Linked DNA regions of Kluyveromyces lactis. The protein of the gene in region 1 interacts with the protein of each later gene in a biochemical or structural test. Links are inferred from orthologs where the notes say so. Each region holds a gene or a part of one and is shown in the gene's direction. Other genes may lie near its edges. The genes, in order: BUD13 and IST3.

Evidence for each region.
Region 2: the proteins of BUD13 (region 1) and IST3 form a complex in vitro, tested with the Saccharomyces cerevisiae proteins (4 studies listed by BioGRID, with this or other methods). The link is inferred for Kluyveromyces lactis from reciprocal best matches to the Saccharomyces cerevisiae genes BUD13 and IST3.

Annotation. Positions count from the first base shown.
Region 1 is NC_006042.1:2,085,732-2,097,825, reverse strand, and holds BUD13 (Bud13p), read left to right. Parts: upstream 1-1,326; coding exon 1,327-2,133; downstream 2,134-12,094. Other genes in the region: ssDNA endodeoxyribonuclease SAE2, read right to left, coding at 1-1,023; chromatin-binding exonuclease XRN1, read right to left, coding at 2,230-6,591; FG-nucleoporin NUP49, read left to right, coding at 7,133-8,350; KLLA0_F22341g (uncharacterized protein), read left to right, coding at 8,860-9,819; KLLA0_F22319g (uncharacterized protein), read left to right, coding at 10,602-11,213. UniProt on the Saccharomyces cerevisiae protein: Required for efficient splicing and pre-mRNA nuclear retention. May also be involved in positioning the proximal bud pole signal.
Region 2 is NC_006040.1:1,149,612-1,161,368, reverse strand, and holds IST3 (U2 snRNP complex subunit IST3), read left to right. Parts: upstream 1-3,377; coding exon 3,378-3,878; downstream 3,879-11,757. Other genes in the region: AIM21 (Aim21p), read left to right, coding at 1-431; DJP1 (Djp1p), read left to right, coding at 817-2,118; KLLA0_D13442g (bifunctional 4-hydroxy-4-methyl-2-oxoglutarate aldolase/oxaloacetate decarboxylase), read right to left, coding at 2,335-3,042; actin cytoskeleton-regulatory complex protein PAN1, read right to left, coding at 4,024-7,998; KLLA0_D13376g (alpha-mannosyltransferase), read right to left, coding at 8,520-10,511; RRM3 (DNA helicase), read right to left, coding at 10,802-11,757. UniProt on the Saccharomyces cerevisiae protein: Required for pre-mRNA splicing and spliceosome assembly. As part of the pre-mRNA retention and splicing (RES) complex, required for nuclear pre-mRNA retention and efficient splicing. Required for MER1-activated splicing.

The DNA of each region.
Region 1 (12,094 bases):
TTCATTCCAAGTGAAATTGCCATCGTCAACGATGTCATTCAATTTGGAGTTCCTGAAGTAAAATTCTCTTTCAGATATAGGCACTAAATTATTCGTAGCTTCGAGAAACCGTGTTTTTGTTTTCTGATAAAGCAATTTCCTCGACTCCTCTTTGTCGTCCAATCTTTCTTGGGTGGTTGGGAAGTTAAGCCTTCCATATCCAGGAGGAGATTTTGATCTAACACGTAGATTATCGAAGGAATCGTCAGGAAACTGAAGGTCGGGAACTTTTGACCTGTCTGACACACTAGTTTCGTCGACAGTTTCGAGTAACCCGGTACTGTTTAGTACAACGTTTTGTTTACTTTTCAGTGGTGATCCAGCTTGAGCGTGAAAACGAGCTACTTTATTGGATTTCTTGCATCCCCTTCCTCGATTTTTTGAGGACACTAGTTCATTGATCTTGAAATCTTCATAGATCCAAGGTTTCTTCGTAATTGGATTTATGGAGAAATCAACCGAGATTTTACCCCTTTTAATATTCTCCTTCTCATTGTTCCTATTAGCTTGTGGCATAGTAGTTGCATTTATTGGTGACCTACCACGTTTAGATTTTGCTATGACACTCTGATGTGAATGTTGTATGTTGATATCATTCTCCTTCAAGATGTCTGACGCTTGGGAATCAAGGATAATCTCGTTTTCTTTCAAAGGGGAACTCATCAGCTCTAAATCACGTTGTAGTCCTTGATTACGTTCTCTTGCCAATGGTTCAGCGTGTTCTTGTTCAATAGTACTTTTCACAGTCGCGTTTTTCTTCACATGTATTGGATCAAACTGAGTAGACGGGAGGTCATCATAGCTGCTAAGACCGTCCTTCATGTATTCATCCAAGTCATCTTGAATATTCTGTCCCTGTGGCTGAATTATTTCGACGTACCGTCGATCCATTTCCGATACTAATTGTTTTTGTAAAGAAAGTAACTGAGACCATTCTAATCGATGTAGCCATGCCTCTAGGCTTTCCTCTGATTCTTGACTCATCGCAGTAAAGATTCTTGCCAAGCAGAATCCTGAGAACTCAATATGTGTCCACAGTAAGGGTCTAACAAACTAGCTACAGTACAAAGTGGTGACGCGAAACCTTAGCTCTTTATCGAACTAACAGTTACATTGTTGATATTTTATGCTTTTTTCTGGAAAAGAAAACCTTATTTTGATTTCAGATTAAGGCTAACATGGCTATAGAGCTCCCCAACAGAAGCAGATTCTCAGATGTTTACATAGCTGTAGAGCTTATCACAGCATTTAGGGTGGGTAGAATTGCAAACCGACCCAATTAATATAATGTCACTTAACGATTTTTTGGCGAAGTCTTACGGCTCAAAGCACGGTAAAGAGAAGACGAAAAAGTCTAAGGATAAGTCATCACACAGAAAGAGCGATGAGTCTAAAAGAGTCACATCAAGAAATATTGATATTATTGACAAGGCTAATCTTATTACTGAAGAAAACAAGAAGGCTGCAAGCTCAAATAAAACAGGAAAGTCTCTTTGGAAAAACCTTGAAACTGAAAAGTTGGAACTTGTACAACACGTTGATGTCGACAAAAAGGACGATAGTAAGGAAAGGATGTCGTCAGGCGCCTTTGCTGGGTTACAGACAGCAGAAGAGATGGAAAAGCAGATCGCAGAAAAGGAAAAACTTTCTATGCAAAAATCAGGGCTTCTCAAGAAGAATCAGAACACAGTATATAGAGACGAAAAAGGTAAGGTAATAGATGGATACGAAGAAGAATTGAAACTTCGAGAAAAGGCTAATTTGACAGCGAAAGTACGTAAGGAAGAAGAACTTAAAATACGAAATATAGGCGAAGTACAAATATCAAAACTTGATCGCAAAACTGAGAAAAGTGCATTATTATCAACCGAAGATCCATTGAATCAAGGAAACACCCTGCGAGGAACGAATACGTCACTGTTGGGTCGAAGGCTTTACGAGAAAAACTTTCCAGAAAATCGGTTCGGTATCGTTCCCGGTTATAGATGGGATGGAGTTGATAGATCAAATGGGTTTGAAACTAAGTGGTTTGCTAAGAGTCACGATATCGCTGATCAAAAAATAAAGGAACAAACAACAAACCGGGAATTTTGAAAAGTTGAACCTGAAAGTGTCTCTATTCTTATATACTAAGCATTATTTACTGAAGTGATATAATATTTACTGTTAATAGTCCATTCAAACCAACATTCAGGTTTCAGTTTTTTTAGGAGAATTTTTGAAATGACCACCCCTCCCGGAGGCACCACGACCACGATTACTACGGCCACGACGACCGCCACGAGAATGAGAAGATCTCTTTGTATCATCTGAGTCTTTATTCTCCACATTTGCTGTACGTCCATTCTCATCTCTAATTAGGAGATTCTTAAGATTCCTGGATGCCTCTTTATCTAATGGTGGATTTTGTACAGGTTGTGACTGAGGAGGAGCTGCATAAGCAATATGCTCATTATTCGGAATGAAAGGCGGCTGCATCATAAGAGGATGAGGAATACCACCAGGAACCATATGTGGGGGAACAGTGAAATTGTAAGGCAGAGAATTTGCTGGAGGTGGTTGAATTTGCTGTTGAGAACCTGGTTTGATTTGGTTCAAGACGGCATTGAACACGTTGTTAGCAGCCGAAGGATTTAAAGTGTTAACTGCTATTTGCGGAGCGGATCCAGATTCGGTATTTGATTCCGCGTTATCCTTCTTGATATGATTTAACAACTCATGGGCTTGCTTTTTTTTGAGTTCCTCCACTCTCTTCTTTTTTGCGAGGGCGACTTGCTTATCATTAGGAACTGCTTTTGGTTTCTTATCAGCACTCTTCGATGCCTTTGAATGATATACCAATTGTCTATCAGACAAGTTTAATAAGAAGGAAGAGTCCAATCCCAAACCACGTCTGGTCTGCAACCTACCACCAAAGTTGTTTCCTGCAATTATTTCATTGTCAAATAGAACTTGGATTGAGACGTTCTTGCCAATTGAAGTGTAGCCAACGACAGTACCTTTGCTGTGAAGTGGAACCTTGCCTGAATCTTGAATGTACATTACCCTATCACCTAAGTGGAACCTTTGGGAGCGCAATAGAACATATGACGATTCCGCATTTAAGATTGCCTCACGTGGGACCTTAGCTAATTTCTTCTGCTCGCTTGAATCTGGTAAAGAAACGTATTTTATGATTTCAGATTCAACAGCTGCCATCGAAGCCTTGGTTAGCGAATCACTTTCCAAAGACACCACCACGAATGGTTTTCTTGCTTCTGAGAGCCAATCAGCCACTGTTTTCAAAATGGAATCAGCTTCCGCGCTAGATTTGTTAGGGAAGAGATCAGTGATCGATGGAATTGCTTGTTCCTTCGAGTTAGAAAGTTTCGCAAAGAACTCAGGGAATGTAGATCTGAACTGCTCTAACAAACCAAGAGCGACGTCAGAGTATTCCCATTTGTTTGAGCTGCATCTGGCATAACCGAGAACTTTTTGATTTCTTGCTTTGAATTTGATCATCAAACCGACGTTATGGCTTTTCTTTTTAGAATCATTGACCAAATATCTTGAAGTAATTTTTGACAAGAAGAGAGGGTGGACACGAGCTATTTTTGAAAACACTTGTGTTGGGTAGAATCTCAAGGCTTGAGAATCCAATTTCGCTCTAACTTTTCCGATGTTAGGCTCTGCTCTGAGAGAACCCTTTTTGACTGTAAGTTTTAATCTAGTCTCACTATTATAACCATCAACGGTCGCCTCCCCACCATACGCATAATCACCTAAAAACACAACTTTTGAACCTTTTGGAAATTCTTTATTAATTGGTAACGGCTCTTTTTCAATATATCTTTCGTCCTTATTTTTTACGTCCTCTACGATTAATTGTAAAGGATAGTATTCGATAGTTTCATTGAAAGACTTAGAATAGGAACCATCAGAGTTTCTCACCAATCCATTTACTGGAACCACTTTAGCCAAAGCAGAAATGTCATCCAAAAGAATGGCCTTTGTCCTTTGATAATTCGATTTGAGAGTCATCTTCAACTCTCTAAATTCTTTCCTTTCAAAATCCTGAGGCTTTCTTTCAATGACCTTTGTTAATTTGCCTGACTTAACTCCTTCATACACAGTTTCCTCTGTAATCAACGACAAAAGTTTAGATTCTCTTAGAAACGGCCATCTTGAATAAACAATCTTACCCATATGTCTTTTTGCTAGATCTGACAGAGAGATGCCATTTTCCTTGTAAAGGTCCTGAATATGCAACACCATAGATTGTTGTTTAGAAGGGAAATTGAAGACAACAGAAGAATTATAAGCAAGCTCTGCAGTTAGTGGTAGTGTCTTTAGGGATGGGAAACCGGCCAAAGAGCTAGCTCCGAGTTTAGCGCCCTTTGGCAAACCAAATAAGAACTTAACGTTTTCCATCGATTCTGGAATGAATTCCCTTTCGATACAATGATTGTGTTCAATATCATTAAACAACCCCGCTAGTGGTGTTTTGTAAACTGTGTCTACCTGAGGATTGAATATGAAAATCAGATCAGTTCCGAACGAATTTCTTTTCTTTTCATCCGGAGAAAGCTTAGCATCATAAGGAGCCATTGCTTCTACTAAACGCTTTTGATCCACGAATGAAATTTTGACGACAGCTTCCCAGTCTGCTGTTTTGCCATTTAGATCCAACTCTACTTCGTTAGGATAGAAGTCCAAGATAGGAGAGTGTTCATCATACATGAGTGGTCTGTACACAACTGGAATCAAATTCTTTGATCTCTCAGGCAAGACGGCCATCAATTGTTGGAAGGGCTTGAAAGGCTGTCCCTTGTGAAATTCTATGTTCTGATCTATACCTTTGATCACATCTGATATACGAGGAGCGTAATGATATCTGTAATACCAGGACCAAGATGGACATCCACGATAATAGTAGTATAAAACCCATTGTAAACCTCCGACATAGTTTTCTGTCATTTCTTTTAGACTATCAGTATCATTGATGGAAAAATCTAATTTATCTTTATAGTATTGATCTTTCCACTCAACGAATCTCTCGCTATAAATTTCACGCTCTTCTTCTAATTCTTCTTCAGATGCAATAATAATACCTTGTTCATATTTCTTAATAGAACGTCTTGTTTCGTGAATACGGGCTTCATGCTCTTCATCTGTTTCTTGCACATTGATGGAGTCTAAATCCAACTTGAAGTAGTACAAATCTTTTGATTTAGAATGAGCAAGAATTAAACCCAAATCAAATGCGAATTCCTTCAAGAAATCCAGGTTGGCCCGAACCAATTCTTTATCCTCAAGAGGGAAAATTTCGAAATCGGCATCCTGTAATTCAGAAGTGACCTTCCGTTGAACGGTTTTCAATAACCATGGTTTTACGGCGCCAATCAATTTCTTTTGTTGTTTCATCAACAACTTTTTACCCATCCTAGTACGTTTACGCTCACCTTCCAAGGAAATATTTTCAAGTTGTTGATTGAACCATTCAACGTCAATATCTTTCTTCTCAAAGTTAAGGTATTCAAAATCGGACAAGTACTTCAACCAAATGGAAAATCTTGCCAAATTTATCTTACCTTGTTCATTAATGTAACCATCCATATGTTGGAGAGCTTCTTTAAAAGTTTGTAATAGCACAGGGAATGCACCTTTTTTCAAATGCAAATCGGGCAAATTTGGTAAGAAATCATTACCGATGGTAAATAATACAAAGATGAAATCATCTAATACTCTTTCAAAGTCGTATTCAAACTGCACAGAATCTGTTATTTCTTCGAACTCTAATGCCAAATATTCTCTCAAGATAGACAAATGCAACAAGAAGAAGTTCTGTGTTTCTAGAGTTTTCACAGAAGACGAACGTTTACCAAAAGTAACTTCTTCTCTTAATAAACAAAAGTGGTGATCATGGGTGGATAAACCTAGGATGATCAAATCAGCATCTAACCCGTAGATACAATGTCTTGTATTTGGATTGTAATCCTCTTGTGCTCTAATTGCTCTGATGTAATCCATGATCTTATGTTCACCTTCACCAGGAACCTCATGCCCGGAGAAAATAACCTTCACGTTCTGCCATCTGGTATCGTTGGTGATCTTGTCATGGATGAAATATTTCAAATTCTCGGTTAATTTTGCCATAAATTCTGTTCCTGGGGTAATAGCGTTGGAATCAAATGGCTCTCCCTTAGGCAACTCGTCACCATTTTCAATGGCCTTCTGCAAAGCCTTTTCGGCATCCATGGCAGTTCTGAATCTACGAGCTCTTTGTTGGTTCATCTTTGCTCTTGGGGCCACACCATCGATTGCCATATAAAATGTCTGTTTTGGTTTAATAGTATGGAAAAGATGATCAATATAACTGAAAATTTTGGAATAAACTTCTTCCTCTGATAGTCTTGAATTCACCTCGCTACCATCACCATGCGTACAATTATGCAAAATAGAATTCATATCCAAGTACAAATTGTCGAACTCTGGAATCTGTGATCCATCGATCAATTGAGAAATTTGAGGCCATCTCTCAGAGATGAAATGAAAGAATTTTGGAATACCCATTTTTAGTTAAGCCACAAACCGTAATTAATTGAACACTTTCTGAGGTTTGCTTTACTGACTTTTTTCCTCCAACAATAGAAAAGATCAACAACAACTGGGATTGGATAGTACCAGTAGTATACGTTGCCGAACAATGAGTAACCACTTTTAGTGAATTGTTATAATATACCCTGATATGGATGAAAGACCCTGAAAGTACATTAACCAAAGCTACTGTTTAGTAACATAATCGTTAAGGTAATTTGGTAATTCTTTCCAATGTTCAATCGGAATATTTTTCTTGGTGGTGGCAAAATTTTTTGAGACGAGGTTTATGGGTTACCCGGATCCATAAGTTCAAGCTTTTTTTTCTTGTTTTATACTCTTTGATGGAAGAGTTGAAAACATTTTGAATATGGAAACTGAGAAAGTAAACAGATGAGGTTAAAAAGAAAGATGGAGAGAGCAGAATTGAGACACCAATTGATACTGAACAGTAAGTTGAATTAACTGAATTTACGGCGTGTAAATATCTAATACTCTTATTACTGATAGAAACGAAATGTTTGGCCGTTCTTCTTCTACAGGTCCTCCAGTAGGACCAAGCACAGGAGGAGGATTATTTGGGAATACGGGCAACCAGCAAAGCACTAGCGGTGGTCTTTTTGGTAATAACAATGCCACATCAGGTAACACTGGAGGAGGGTTATTTGGAAACAATAACAATACAGCGACACAGACTGGCGGAGGATTATTTGGCAGTAATCCAGCAGGCACCAACAACAATACGAACCAAACCGCAGGAGGACTTTTCGGAAGTTCTAATAATACAGCCACTGGCTCCACAGGTGGCCTATTTGGTAACTCAGGAGCCGGGTCTGGCGGAGGCTTATTCGGGAATAAGTCAGCACAACCACAGACCACTGGTTTTGGAAGCTCTGGAACTGGAGGAGGATTATTTGGATCCAAACCAGCACAACCACAGACTACCGGTTTCGGAGGCTCTGCAACTGGTGGAGGATTGTTTGGATCCAAACCAACTACCGGAGGCCCATTCGGAAATCAACAACAGCAATCCCAACAATCTGGTTTAGGAATGTTTGGACAAACACAAAATCAATTTCAACAGCCACCACAACAACAGATACAACAGACTCAACAGAGTGCCATTAATTTCATTAACCAATTAGCTATCACGCCGATGACCAAGATATCGGAGCTTCCGATTCAAATTCGTCAAGAAATCGAACAATTGGACCAATTCATTAGAACGCAAGTGTCTTTATCCAAACATCTTGAAGCTGATCTACAAGATCAAACTGAACTATTGGATTCAATCCCTCGTGACATCAAGTATCTACAAAAATTGCATTTCAACGCAACAAGATCACTATCATCAGATTTGAAACGAATCGATGCCATCAAGACACTAGTGGATAAAGATGTTAAACAATTGGAAAATTTTGCTATAATGTTGCAACAACTAGTCAGTAAGGGATTCAAAATATCAAACGTTGAGATAGATAAGTTCTTCCAGGAAAAATTAATCACATACAAACACAAATTAAATGACTACAACGACACTCTAAGCAATATTGACGACGCAGTGTCAGGTCTAGAGAATGATCTCTTTGGGAACGATTCATCCGAAGATGATGATACCAAGGTCGGTGTTAACATTATCGTCAGCGTTCTAATCGAAGAGTTCAAACTATTCATGGATACAGCTGAAAGAATAGCAGAACTGCATCAGAAGTGTAAAGAAATAATAGTTAAATAGTCGATATTATTCTTTTAATACTATAAAAAAAGAAAGCGTTCAAGAACATATTACCTATTGATGCAGATCACTAACTCCTGCACATGCACTGCACCTGCACCGCATCTGCCACTTGTCTCTTCGCAGTCTTCTCTTCTCAGGCTCCCTTTATCTTCCCTTCCTTATTTAGGTCAATGAGTTGTGAAAAAAGGGAATTTGATACGACAAATATAAAAGGAATAAGGATTAAAAAATGGTTAACAAGGAGTAACAGTTTTCCCGGAAACGAAAATGTGAAACAAAGAACAAAGGAAAGGCGTCCTGGTTTTGTGATTATACTCAAGAAATATATATAGGACTGATAAGAATTTTAGAACGTTGCTGGCAACTAACTATCATTATTGGAATATCAGAGACATATTAAGTGTGACATTTTAGTATTAATTCTGTCAGTATAAACTTATTGTAGATCAAGCTTCAGGCGTAAAATCAAGGAGCTAGGAGATTTTTTTTTTGATTAAAGCGAAGCGATGGCTGAAGTAAAAGATAGATGTACATCAGTGGATGGAAATGACACTTGGGGGGTCGTTGGTGGTGTGGACGGTACATATTCCATCAGGGATCTTGACGCTGGTGAAATGGACGATATTTTATCGGTGACAAGCAGCGACTTAGAGGATTCCGCAGTGTTGCAGAATAAGAAAGGGAGCGTTAATCATAGTAACAATACTACGTCGTTATCCACGCCACTGGATTCATTATCCAACGTTGCGCCTGCAAAGACAACAGCAAGGAGCAATACATGGACAGCGCGCTTGACGAAACTTCAATCCGTTATTCTTGGAATTTCGTTGGTGGCCGGTCTCATCAACATGGGCCTCTTGACCGTTTTCATCCGTGATATTAACAGTTTTACTAAAAACAACGAGTTAGAGTGTAGTTCACTAGCTTTCAAGGACAGATTGGCTTGTCAATTTGATGCATACATGGGCCATAGGGCCCATGCATACGAAGCAGCATACGTGAAGAAAACGCCACTTCCATCCACTTTAGCATCATATTACCCTAGCTTCCCTTCTCTTGAGCAATATTACGAAGTATGTCAGAAGAAGTTGAAATTTACTTATGCAGCAACTTCTAACTGGGTCAGTACAACGGTGAGGCGTGAAAACTTCGAAAGCGTTAAGGAATGGACGAAGAATGCGAAGGAAACAGCAGAAGACCGGATCACTGCTTTCTACTCGCTAACTAAACAGAGATTCGATAGCTACAAGGAGACGCAATGGCCCCGTCAACGACAATCACTATTCAAGTTCAGAGTAAATTTACAAGCTGCTATCCATAGGTACCAGAGAAAAATGAGGAAAATGTACCCACTTGAATTCCCACATTTGCGCAAGTTTTCCGTGCCTAGGATTTGGTACAAATCCTCTGATAAGCTTCGCCACCAATACCATAAAATACTTGATCTCTTAAGGGTAAGAATGTGATGTGTGATTCAGGGTAAAATTTGATATATACCATACGTAAACAGTTTTTCCAGGATATATATGTATGTGTATTTCGTTTCTAAAGTATGTCTTCATCAGGCCTACAGCACAGAGGTTCTCTCCCAGTTATGACGGAACATCTTGGGCCAGATCATGTCTATTTCCCCGTCGCATGTCCGGGTAACAGGAGGGGTAATCGTCCAAAATCAGATTTCGGGGATGCAAATGACTTTCAGACCTTTTTAAAAAACCCAGGGCGTCCCGAAATGATAACTAGCTTATCAGCCAACACGTGAATTTCCCACGTGGAACCAAATACGCCGAACATGGATCTGCGTAATGTTAATAAGGTACCTCATCTTAAGTAAAACGAAAAGGAAATTGTTAGAAAAGCACGGTCTTTATCAAGAAAAGACCGTGCATGGTGCTGCATGTGGGTTCAAGTTCACGTGGTAATGATTGGAAAGTACTGCGTACTTTGTTGGGAATTAATTTTTGTTCTCTTCCACTCGAGGGACCACGAGTCATGAGCAAGGGAAAAACGTGTTTTATATATGCCAATCATAACGGCAATCTAGTGACATTCTTGGTAGGTTTCTAGTAAACCCGCTTGGCACATGTCTGAAGCCATGTAACAGTGTATAAATATATATATATATATGCATATAAAAAGCATTTTCTTTACGGGAGTTGACCAGCGGAGGAGACGTAAAAGGCCGTGGGATAAGATCAGCACACGCTGACGCAAATAAAAAGATAACATAAAAATAAAACCAAACATAATGGATAAGAAGATGATTTTACCACTACCCAAGAGCCCAAAGGAAATGGCAGAAAATCGAGGCAGAGCGACACTAAGTTGTAACCAATTTTCGCTTCTTCCATCCATTCGTAACTTAGTAAACTACACAGACACAGACAATTTCGATGATACACCAAGGACGTTACCTCCAATAACTAAACTCTCGATAAGTCCCCCGTTGACCATTGCCGATGAGAAAAAAGTAAAAGCTGAAAATAAGATAGACACAAGTGACGCAATATTTAGGCCCAGAGCCCACTCAGACTCTTCATGCTCTTCCACAGATTCATTGTCTGAGTTAGATTTCAAACAATTGCAAGAAAAGCTACTGCACGATAGACCAGAACCCGGGTACATCCACGAATGGAACCAAAAGCAAGGACGTGGGGCTCGTTACAAGAAGAAAATACACTGTAAGAAATGCCACATTTGCGGGAAAGAATTCTCTCGTCCAAGCACTTTGAAAACACATATAGTGGTGCATTCACAGGCGAAACCGTTCAAATGTACATATCTTGATTGTAACAAGAGCTACAATGTCAAGAGCAATTTACGAAGACACGAGAAGAAACACAAGTGCCACAAGTGTTGATTTTTATCTTTAACCTTAAAGGATAATAAGCTTTTGAACTTTTTTATACAAATCGTATACTACAATATGATGCAGAATGAAATACAGGTAATTAGGATGGTATATTTTATATTTACATATTTATACATATAAAGCACACAGATATGTGCATTGGTATATGTATATTACGGTAAATAAGAGCGAAGATCTCAGTGTCACACGACACATCCGTAAATAATGATGATACATGGCCCAAAACTTGTTTTGTTTCGAGGAGGGCCCAGACCCTGTTGAACGGCCTTGGGTGTTATCATAATCATTATTGTTACCCTCCCGAGAATCTTACAGAAACATGAAATTCCAGTCACCCAGCAAAGACGTACCCACTTTATAATTACGTACCACCATCATCCGTAACCCTTGCAAAGCCGCTTCAGAAGAGAGCAGCTCGGTAGCTGAGGTTTATCGGGATCAGGTTAGGCTGGCTGCCCATGCAACTCTTGCTCGCACGCTCATAAGAAGCTAGCAAACCACGTTCTTTTTTATAGCTATATATGGACAACAACCAACGTTTAATAATCAATAACCCACGTAGCCGTATTGCATCTAACGACGTATTGTTTCTCCTCTTACTGCCGTTTCTTGGGAAAAAATTGCACTTGAGTGTTTTTGCCAAATTTTTTTTTTTTTTTTTTTTGAATCATCGGTTGGCAGGGTAAAATTTCCGTTCTGATGGATTCTCCCCTCGAAATGATTAAACCATGATTCTTCACTAATTTAATTAATCTCCAAGAATAAATACATATACTATATATAAATGACGGTGTTTGCCAAGTATTATTTTAGCAGACCACTTGTTCAGCAAAGCTAAACAGACATTTAAAGAGAGAGCAGGTACGTTT
Region 2 (11,757 bases), on another chromosome or scaffold:
AAACGAAATCCACGTCTAATATATCTGTCGTAAAGGCATGGACTATATCTTTCAAGCCCGACTTGCCGGAACGGGCTGATGATCAACCAATGGAGGCAGAATTGACTGCAGGGGAAGCAATTGCGCCATCTGAACCAGCTGGCCTTGAAGATGTTGAAGCAGAAGATCTGAACGAAGCCTCACCAGAAGAACCTCTGCAAATAATTTCTGAGTCTGGAAACAGCGATGAGTCTGAAATACAGCATACTTCAGATCCGTCCATTGCACAGAATGTGGAACATGAAGAAGAAGTACATGAGGAAGCAGAAGCAGCGCCTGAAGCAGAGCCTGAAGCAGAAGAAATCGCTTTGGATACGGAAGAATCGAATCCTACGGCTTTTATCGCTGAAACTTATGATGAAGATACCGAAGTAGAAACTCCCACAGCTTGAACTAAATACTCATACATTTGAAAAGTAACACTAACATCTAGTAGCTAAGTCCATAGATAACGTCTAGCAGGTATACCCTGGTGCCGATACAGGGGAGTTCTTGTATCTTTGAATATACCTATTAAAAGTTACCCGCACTTTATTACTCGACCCAGATAAAACTCGATATCAATATCAAATGCACCAACAAGGCGATACATAATGATTTTAGTAGTCATTGATGAGTTGACAGCGTTGTTGAAGAGCACATATTATCACTCGAGCAACGTTTCAGGCTTTTGAAAGGTACATTCGTATATCTAAGAGTGTTTGGAGCTTTTGGTTTGGTGCTATAACTGAGGTAAACGGTCTAGAAAGAAGAGCATTTAGGATCTATAGTAAAAGAATGGTGGTAGACACGACATATTATGACTTGCTAGGCGTAGCTACGGATGCCAAACAGATTGATATCAAGAAAGCGTACAGAAAAAAATCAGTGAAGGAGCATCCAGACAAAAATCCCGATGATCCCACAGCAACTGAAAGATTTCAAGCTATTTCTGAAGCTTATCAAGTCTTGAGTAGCGAGGAGTTACGTATGAAGTACGATAAGTTCGGTAAAGAAGAAGCTATGCCTAAGAATGGCTTCGAGGATGCAGGTGAACAGTTTGCTGCGATATTCGGTGGTGAGGCATTTACGTCTTATATTGGGGAATTAACGTTGTTGAAGAATATTCAAAACACACAAGAGTTAAGTGAAGAGGACGAAAGAGCAAAGGAACAAGAAGCAAGTGAAAAGGCCACTCAGCAAGCTCATAATTTGAATAATAATAACAATGCATCTAATGGTGATGATGACACTAAATCTGCTGAGGATAGCACTAATAATGGAACTGCCAAGAAGCTAACATCAGGAGGCGATGATTCGTCCAATCCCGAGACTAAGAAAAAGGGTAAGCTAGAAGAGTTCGAAGAGCAGCAAATGTTAGATAAAGAGAAGAGTATAGAAGAGCTCAGTAAGACGTTATCGGACCGTTTGTCCATACTAACGGAAAGTGCATACGATGATGCTTGCAAGGAGTCATTTGATAAAAAATTCGAAGAAGAGGCGAACATGTTGAAGATGGAATCGTTTGGATTAGATATCTTGCATACAATAGGTGAAATCTATTGTGAAAAGGCGAACATATTCTTGAAATCACAATATTTATGGGGTTTTGGAGGTTTTTACCATTCAGTAAAGGCTAAAGGTGGCTTAGTGATGGATACCGTACGGACCGTTTCTGCAGCCTTAGATGCTCAATCTACCATGACTGAGTTGGAGAAATTAAAGGAAACTGCGAACTCGGAGGAACCACTAAAGGATGAAGCTGGAAACGTTGTTGAAAAACCAACTGTGGAAGAGTTAGCACAATTGGAGCAGTTATTAATGGGTAAAGTCCTTTCAGCCGCATGGTACGGCTCAAAATTCGAGATCATGTCAACTTTAAGAAGCGTATGTGATAAAGTTCTAGAAGATGAGACCGCCGAGATGTCAACAAGGATAAGAAGAGCTGAGGCTTTGAAAAGACTTGGGAAAGTTTTCAGAAGGGCATACCGGACGAAAACAGAACAAGAGGATGCCCAAGTGTTTGAAGAGCTCGTGGCGGAAGCAAGCAAGAAAAAGGGTCATAAGCATCACACTAGCAGCACTGCCAATAAACAGTGAATACAAAATATTCTCAAACCGAGTGCTTCCTACCTAATAATAGCATAAACACTTGCCAATTCTTGTTTTTTCATTCTTTATTTCTGCATCATGTTCATATATACATACATAGCTTGCTACTTAATTGACAATAATATTAATTTAACATAGCGATAAACTTTCGACTACGCAACCGAATATTGCAACTCCTGACGATCAACGGGGGAGGGCTGTAAATTACAAATATTGTTTAAGAATTGCTCTACGTTCTGATTGAGACTGAGCAGCAGGTTTTCCCTCCTTTATGTCTTGAGAAACAAGGTCATCGGCTTCGATAGACTTTTCTATATATGTGATCAACTTATCTAAGTCGACGGCGGCAGTTGGAATACGAACCATTCCATGATCATCACATACCAAATAATCGCCGGGATTAATTGTCTCCGTAGTGCCATCGCTAATCTTAATCTTCAACTCACAGTTATACGAAATCGGTTTCAAAACTGCTTTTGGAGCACAGGTACCGATACCGTAACTGAAAACGCTGTGATCCAATGCCTTATGCTCTTCGATATCTCTGATTCTACCAAATACAACCGTACCATGGCTGCCTAAATATTTTGCTCTTGTAGACATTAATCCACCGTACATGCCCTGAATAGGTTTGGTATATGGAGCACTGCTCAATTGTAAATCTTCAGTCATACCGATGGTTACGATAGATTCTGCTGGCACATTATCGATGTAATTGACACTGGGTTTATCTTGGGTAGCATTTTTATGCCCGAACAACACAGGAAAAGCCCTACCCACGATAGTCCCAGACCCTGACCTTCTCACCAAATTAGGGAAATATCCACCATTAGTGATTCCATACAAATTCAATAGCCCATCTGAGATGTCACAAGTAGTGAAATGTCTCAACCTTGCAAGATACTCTGACATTCTGCGTGTGGGAATTATAATTCAGCAGCGATCCCGGTAGTGCATAAACTCTGGATTTAACTTCTTTCGAGCGATGGAAAAGTGTTGATAATTTAAAGGTGTTAAAGATTTGAATAAGTTTCTTGAAAGTTCGTTTATATAAGAACAAGAAGACAATTGAAGGTGTTACGCACGAATGGAGGAACCGGAGAAGAATTTGACGGTTACCGAAAAGGAGCTGCAATTTTCTGATAGAAAGGATAAGGAATAACCAATAGAGCTGGTACTTTGCGGTCATTGGGAGGCTGGTTCAACTGTGAATATTTGGAAGTGAAGATCCAATACGATTATCAATTATGAATCAGATAAGGTCGATACAGAAACTTAGTGAAAGGGAGTTGGAATGTGGGATTCTAAAGCCAGAAAGCTCATGGCATCATGAGTATAAAGATCAGGCCTACATAAACTTTGGAGGGATGCACCTCGAATTGACAGAAGCTGATATTCTCACCATATTCTCCCAGTACGGCTGTCCTGTGGACATCAAACTTGTACGCGACCAGACAACTGGAAAATCTAAAGGGTTCGGGTTTCTCAAGTATGAAGATCAAAGATCGACTATACTTGCGGTGGATAACCTAAATGGAGCCAAGGTTTGTGGAAGACTGATACGAGTAGATCATGCTTTTTATAGGCCAAGATCCGATGAAGCTGAGTACGAGGAAGCTGTAAGACAAGAGTTGGAGAAGGATTTCGCAAAAACAGGAGACGTACCGAGTGAACCCATGAAGCAAGAATCGGTGGCTGACCCGTTGGATGAGTTTGCTGATCCAATGGCTGCGTTTCTGAAGAAATGAAATTCACATTCCTAAAGGAACAAGTACGGAGCAGTTCTTTTATGACAACGTAGACTTTTAGTTTCAAATGATATTTATGTACATATCCTGTAACTACTTTTCAATAATTTAGATACATGAATTTACGGACGCGAGAGCATATAACTTATGGCATCGGTGGTGGTGGAGGGATGACCGGCACTGGAGGAGCGGGAGGAGCGGGAGGGATTGCGCCAGTAGGTGCGACAGATACATCTTCAGCACCTGGTGTATGGAACTTATCTTCCTCATCAGAGGCCACCGACTCTGGGATAGATAGTACGTCGGATGCATCATCCGGCTTTGGTTCTTCGTTCTCTGCTAAAGTTGCAGTTCCTCCTACTTTTAGTAAAGGAGCTGCCACAGGAACAGCAGGTGCTACGTCACTGTTTATTTGAGGCAATGGTGGGGCGATAGGTACTGGTGGGGCACCAGACCCTTCAGTAATCGACGTAGGCAATGGAGGTGGAGGTGGGATCAGGGATGATTCGCTTTTAACTAAAGGCAAAGGTGGTGCAATAGGAACAGCGACAGACGATTGTTCTTGAGTGGTTGCAGAAATCTGTGGGAGAGATGGTGCCACAGGAACGGACGCGGTAGATGTAGCAGGAACAGCGGTACTACTGACATCAACAGCTTTGTTGGCTGTAGTATTTACCTTCTCTGTTTCGTCATCATCTGACCATCCGTCACTGTCATCCAAGCCTCGTTGAACCCTTCTCTGCTGTTCAGCTGCCTTCAGATCAAACGAAGATGATTGTGAAGGAGCTTGCTTGAAAAATGGATTTCTGCCACCAGTTGGAGTGTTATTCAATTGTGGGGTACCAGCACCAGAGGCGGGTTTTTGCTGTGTTGCTTCACTCTTGCCAAATGGATTATATTGGTGATGTGATCCGGCTTGTGATTGGTTTCCAGTAGGGTTTGTTGGTGTAGGTTCATCATCCCAGGAGTCATGACCGTTATCATTCTTAGTTTCTGCTGGTGATGAGCTGGTTTGACGCTTGGCTGCTAATCTAGCTTCTTTTTCTTGTTTTTTCTTCAGTTTCAGTTTTTCTAATTGTTCTAACAATCTTCTCTCCTCCTCGTCCTCCTCATCTTCATCATCATCGTCGTTAGCTTTTGGTAGATTGGAGTTGTTTACCGCAGCAGCAGGTTGACTGGGTTGTTGGTAATAGTTAGGTTGCTGTTGCTGCTGTTGCTGCTGCTGCTGCTGCTGCTGCTGCTGCTGTTGAGGCTGTTGTTGCTGAGTCAATTGTGGAGGATTAGGTGATGATTGTGAACTCCCTGATTTCTTTTTGATTCCTAATGCTGCCAATTTTTCTTCCATCTTCTTTTTAGCTTGTTCTTTGACATATGCAGATCTTTCTTCAGGTGTTTGGAAACTTGAGTACGAGTCTTTTTCTTCAGGCGCACGAGCGTTGTTTCTATAGGTTGCTGAAGAAGAGATTTGAATACCGTTGGAGTATCCTGCGGTATTGTAAGAAGAATTATCGAAGTTTCTTCTGTTTTTCCAAGATATGATAAAGTCTCTGACTTCTGGTTCTAGACCGATACCAGATTCCCATTTATCCATTTCGAGGCCCATTGAAGGAGTTCTTCCGTGAATTATAGCTTGCACCGAAGAAGAGATCTCTTGAATCCAGGTACTGATGTTATTGATGGCAGATTGGTTCTTTTGATCATCTTTTTCGATAGTTTCAATTCCTTCGTTGAAATGTTGTGCTTGTGCCTCCAAATTATCGTAATTTGGTTCAGGTCTACCGACTAAAGTACACATTCCTGCAGTCAGGGTCAGTCTTTGCCTTGCATTCTTACAGTCTAACTCAGTGATTTTACAGTTTGGGCCACTACCACGGATTGGATGATCTACCTTCAAGTGGTGCAATGCCAACTGACTTGAAACCAATTCTTTGCTCACATCAGAAATTTCTTTAAAAAGGTTTGGAATTCTGGCTGTCAAAGTATCAAATCTGGATTGTAAATCATGTGGCACAGCATTGTTTGCAGAAGGTGATTTTTTTGAGGTTGAGGGCAACGCTTGAATTTGAGATTTCAAATTTTCAATTGACCGTAATAGATCAGCATTTTCAGACTGCTTTCTTTGCGAGTCATTTTCCAATCTTAATTTTTCCGAGGCAAGCAATTCCTTCTTTTCCCTAATTAAGTTCTTTAAGTTTTCAATCTTCTCCTTATTCTCATTAACCTTCTTAGACTGATCGATTGTCTTTCTACGATTTCTCGAACTTGGCAGTAATTCGTCATCGTTGTTTCTAAATCTCAAACCATCTTCCTTAGTTGGCTGTCTATTATTTTTATCAACACCTTGTTTCAATTGATCTTTGACTGTGTTTAAAATCTTTGTCGAGGATGGAATTAGACTTGGAGGCAACGTATTTGGTAGAACCTCACCGTTCAACCTGCGATAAACTAGATGCATACCAAGTGCGAATTCTTGTTTGTTCAAGTTACCACTATTGTTTGTATCACATAGATTCCAGATATGTTCTAGGTCTGACCTGTTCAAACCAGATTTACGGAAAATTTCAACAGCAGTTGCAGAGTCAAGGTTCCCTGTTTTCTCAACATCATAAGTCTCAAAAATCTTGTAAAACAATGATTTTTCTTCTGGAGTGATGGCCTCTTCCTTTCTTGCAATGAACTTAGAAGCAAGATTAGCTGAAGTGTAAAGATCGTTGTTACCAAATCCTGTCTTCTGAGCTTGAAGTGGCGCAGTTGCTTGAAAATTGGATGGAGGTAAGTATCCAGTAGCTTGTGGTTGCAAAAATCCACCTCCAGTAGCCAAACTTGTCTGCATTGGAGCTTGCTGTGTGAAAGATGTTTGCGGCATTGACCCTGGTGGTGGTATGTTCAAAACAGAGCTAAATCCACCAGTGGTTTGAGCGTTCAACGGTTGATTGAAGGAATTTTGAGGCATGAAACCCGTGGATTGTGGTTGTAAAGCTTGGGAAGTGTTACCAAAAGAAGTCTGAGGTGCTGCTCCATACCCACCAGTTGGTTGCTGAGTCAAACCCTGGAAACTTTGTTGCTGCGGTTGTTGTTGTTGTTGTTGTTGTTGTTGCTGCATCTGCTGAGGCTGACTTCCGAACGATAGCTGTGGCATATAGCCAGTAGGCTGGGGTTGCATCATTGATATTCCAGCAGTCAAGTCATCGAACGGTGTCTTAGGTTTTTGTTCGACTTCCGAATCATTCGAAACACTGAAGTTAATAGCATCAACAAAACTGGAAACCTCCGCCTTGGTTCTCGAATCCAACTCATAAGGAATGGAATCACCTTGCAATACAGAATTGACTAGATACATTGCCAATGCAAATTCTGGGAAGAGAAGCACACCAGCCTTATTAGTATCTGAGAGAGTCCAAATTTTGGCCAATTGATGAGGCTGTAAGCCAGATTTGACCAAGATATTTCTGCACTGGTCACCAGTTATAGTGTTGGAACCAGGAGTGACAACCGATCTAAACAACTTCTCAAATTTGGCCTGATCCTGAGTGGTAATGAAAGACAATCTAATGGCAGGAATCTTCAAAGTGTTGTCAACACCAGTATTCGCGAAGGAATTGATGAAACCGGTGGCGGTTGGCTTCAAAGGTTCCAAAGGCTGCTGCTGAGAATAGAAGCCAGTCTGTTGAGGCTGTAACGGACCTGTTGGTGCATTGACAGCAGTAGTGCTCATCCCTTGATTGAAAGACGTGTTCATTGGCATTTGTTGTTGAGGCTGACCAAAGGATGTTTGCGGCATCATAGAATTGAATCCCGTCAATTGTTGGGTCAGTGGCATTTGTTGTTGCTGATTACCGAATGGTTGTTGCATGCCTTGTTGTGGTTGTGATTGTGGTTGTTGTTGCTGTGGCTGTTGTGGCTGCGCCTGTGTTTGTTGACTGAAACCTGTAGGCTGTTGATTCAAAGCGCCAGCGTTGCTAAAGGTTTGAAATCCACTGAATTGCTGCTGCTGGCCCTGAGTAGGGACCTGTTGTTGATAAAAATTCCCATAACCAGTTGACTGAGGTTGGGCATTGAATTGCTGTTGCCCACCAAATTGCTGCGGCTGCTGGGGCTGCTGCTGGTACTGGTTGTACATAGCAATTAGTAAATGGTTGGTTGACCCTTGAACTCGCTGAGCAATACTGCGATTCGCACCTCCTAAATCAAGATCAAAGTTGTCTTTAAACCCTTTGAATGGGGAATCATTTCAACCAAGAATTTCGTCAAAGTCTCCTATTCGATGATCACAAAATACGAAGAATATCGAAGCGTCAGTGTCAGTGGACGGATACTACAAGAACACTCGAGTCCGAGAGTGATACTGCGTCTATAAAGCAGATTACACCTCGGGGAAACTTCGTGAGCTATCTTCGCATGATTCTGGAGCAAGTTGTGCGGGTATAGGGTACATAATACGGCTGATGTCACTTTAGACATCTGTTTAAAAGTTTAAGTTAAACTACGTAAGTACAGGATGGTGACAGAGGAAGTGTTTTAATGAATACCTCTACTACACCATGACAGTTACACTATGATCAAAATATCAAAAGGCCAGGGGGGTTGGTAAGAACAGGAAAAAAAAAGATCAAGTTAATGGCGTTGGAGATGAAGACACTACTATATTTCCATGTTATCATCAAGTTTGACGTTTGAATTCCAGATATCCGAAACAGATTGTAAACGTGAAATAGTATCGGTATCGAATTTGACTATGGTTCCTACGTTTTCTTTTGCTGTGGCACAATAAGTGTACTGATGACACTCCTTGATTTTTTCCCAGGGATATTGCCCAACATTCGGCGTGATATAACCACTGATAGATAATGAAGAATCATACATTTGCTGTAAGGCAACAGGGTTGCCGTATTTCTCTTGGAAATAGTCAGGGTCGTGGTCGAAATCAGCCACGGCACAGTCTTGTACCTTACACTTCTTCAACCCACCGTTGGACCATAGTAAAGTACCTTCTGTGCTGACGTGAGCCATTTGGGTGCCACATATTTCAAAAGTATCATCAGGCTTGTTTTTAACGGTACCCATGATGGAACCTTCAGTTGGGTATATAGAATATTTCTCTCCGGCGAGCAATTGGCCAAGCCAAAATATTTCTTTATCGCCGTAAACGCATCTTTGAAGCTTACCATCGATATTCATCATAGTTGAGATGAGTAGACTAGATAATTTTTTAACTCGATCAACTACAACTAATCCACTATCTATGTGATGTAGTTGTAAGTTATGGAAGAACTTATAGTATATCTGCTCTTCCATAGATAGAGTATCGATATTGATATTATCATTCTCCACAAGTTCGAGGGGGAAAGTAGATCTATGGCTCATGAAATGGGTTTCTTCTACAGACGGGAAAAGCTTCTTTAATGTATCTGTACAATAAATAAAAGTTTTCTCGCCTATAATATTTCTGTCTCTGAATAACAGCATGCCAGTGTCCTGATAACCTTTGAAATCAAAATAGGATTCAAGACTGGCAAATGACACAGAGTCCGCATCCAGTAGAATACATTCAGAAAAGGTATTGAACAATAATGCCATCCATTTATTTATGAAATAATGGACGTATTGACCAACGAATGAAGCATCGATTAACGGTTCAATATTGACAAAATAAACCTGCTGTGATAATTTTTTTGCGTTTAAGAATGAATGAATGTCGTAAATGAAGGCTTCAGTAAGCTCAGATCCGTTGTGAATAACTTGTATTGGAAGTGTATTATTTAAATTCTCCAAAGTGAGAAGTAACTTCTTGAACTGGTCACCGTGCCTCAGCCCCAATGTCAGTACAATTCCCTTCCCCTCTGCAAAATTATTCCAATTATAGAAGAATGAATAATTATCATCCATTTTCCAGGTGTCTTTACCTTCTAACAATGGGTTACTAAAAGAAGGAATCAACGTCCAAGGATTGACATGTATCATTTTAGGCCACAAATGTCTGAATGGTGTCTTCTTTGAGAGGAAAGGGAATAATCTCGATTCAAGATCGTTTGGCTTCACGACTGATCTCTTGAACACCTTGGATGTGGATAAACCTCCACTGATGAAACAAGAATCATACATCCTTATCCGTTCTAACATAAGCTCTGCCAAGGGGTCATCCAAATTATTGTCGTTATGGAAGTCTTTAATATGATCATTATTCCATGTTGGGTTTATTTCCAATGTTGATTCGAAATAAAAACGGCATTTCTGCTCTAGGGGTAGCGTTGGCCAGTCCAAACCAATCTTATGATACTTATTAGTAGCATGTAGAGCCAACGAAAGCCATTTTCCGAGGTTAAGCGAGCTTGCGAGTCTATAAAATGGAGAGTAAATTAGTGCTCTTTTACCTTCAAAATGTGGAACAGTTGAATTTGGTACTGCTCCGCTTGGTAATAGAAAAGATATAAACAGCAACGTAGTTACAATCCCAAGCACCTTGATGCTAAATATCCTTCTCCAACGAAATTTCATCGCTTCAGGGCCACAAGCATAGTCTCTCGGATTTCTTTCTTGTTTTGAGTGCAGATAGAGTCTCAGCCTCATCGGACAATTTGATTTACTTTGTTTATTCATTACATATTTTAGATTATTTGGCTTGTTAACTGACATTGAATAAACAAAAGATAAAAAAAAACATCACAGACCCCTATCATCGATATAATAGGACCCGAATGTGTATCGTTACAGTATATCAACAAATAACTGCCTTATGCCTTTTCTTTTTTGATATATATATGCTTTATTTATCATTATGCGTATATGCCATGAATGTTCGGCGATTTGATGAATAATTTAAGTTTAGCTTTTAAGGACAGCCCCAACTGGGACATCTCCTCCATGACATGAAATAATGTGCGCTCATTCATACTCTAAATTTTTTTTTGAGGTTGTTAAGCTATTCATGTCTTTAGTTTATGCAAGTTTTGGTAAAAGTCCTTTACCTTTTCATTAACCTTAATTTTATGAGGATCAAAGTTTGTTATTTGTAGTCTATCCTTCGAGACAGCTCTTGATAATGCCACATAAACTTGACCTGATTCAAAGGTCCGTTTCAGGTCTACTTTTAGTCTATCGATAGTTTGACCCTGGGATTTGTGGATGGAAATTGCCCAACATAGCATTAAAGGTAATTGTTTCCTGACAGCAGAATCCTTCTCAGTTTCTCCGACAGAGAATTCTTCTGGTTCAACTAGTTTAATTTGGTATCCTCTGATGTCTTGTTTGTCTATGAATTTCACAACAGGGAACATGATTGTCGATAGAATACCGGGCCCATTTACGATTTTACTTGCTTTATCCAATACGAAGTTAAGAACTTCTTGCCTGTTTGTTGGTCTAAGATTGATATCCCGTTGTAAGTCCGAAGATCTACCAGATGGTGGCACACCAATGGCTCTGCAAACGCATCTCATATCTTGTACAACTTCCGGATCGCTTAGATCAGGGAATATCTTGGATGCTTCCAAGAACAATGCCGAAGTACAGAAAAAGAGGACTCTTCCTAAGGAACCATTGACTAAGGTATCATCGATGTTTTTCAACATCATTACTTGGGCATCCTCCTTCAGTTTGATTTCTTTTTCTGCCATAACGTTGTTAAGAATATTAGAATTGATATTAGGAGGGATAAAATCTACTGCCTTGTAAAGGATTTCATAACCTGGCAACCTCTCTAACCTACGTTTATTGGACAGTTCCACTTCACGTCTCGTTGGGTAAAGTTCGGTTGGTTCAATGCCATCGTCGTATTCCACTGGTGCTTCAAATTTTTTAATTAGTTTAATGGTGTCGCCAGATGTGTTACCCATTCTAATACCGTTCAAAAGATCAATCAATTCATTATCAGTCTGCCTGA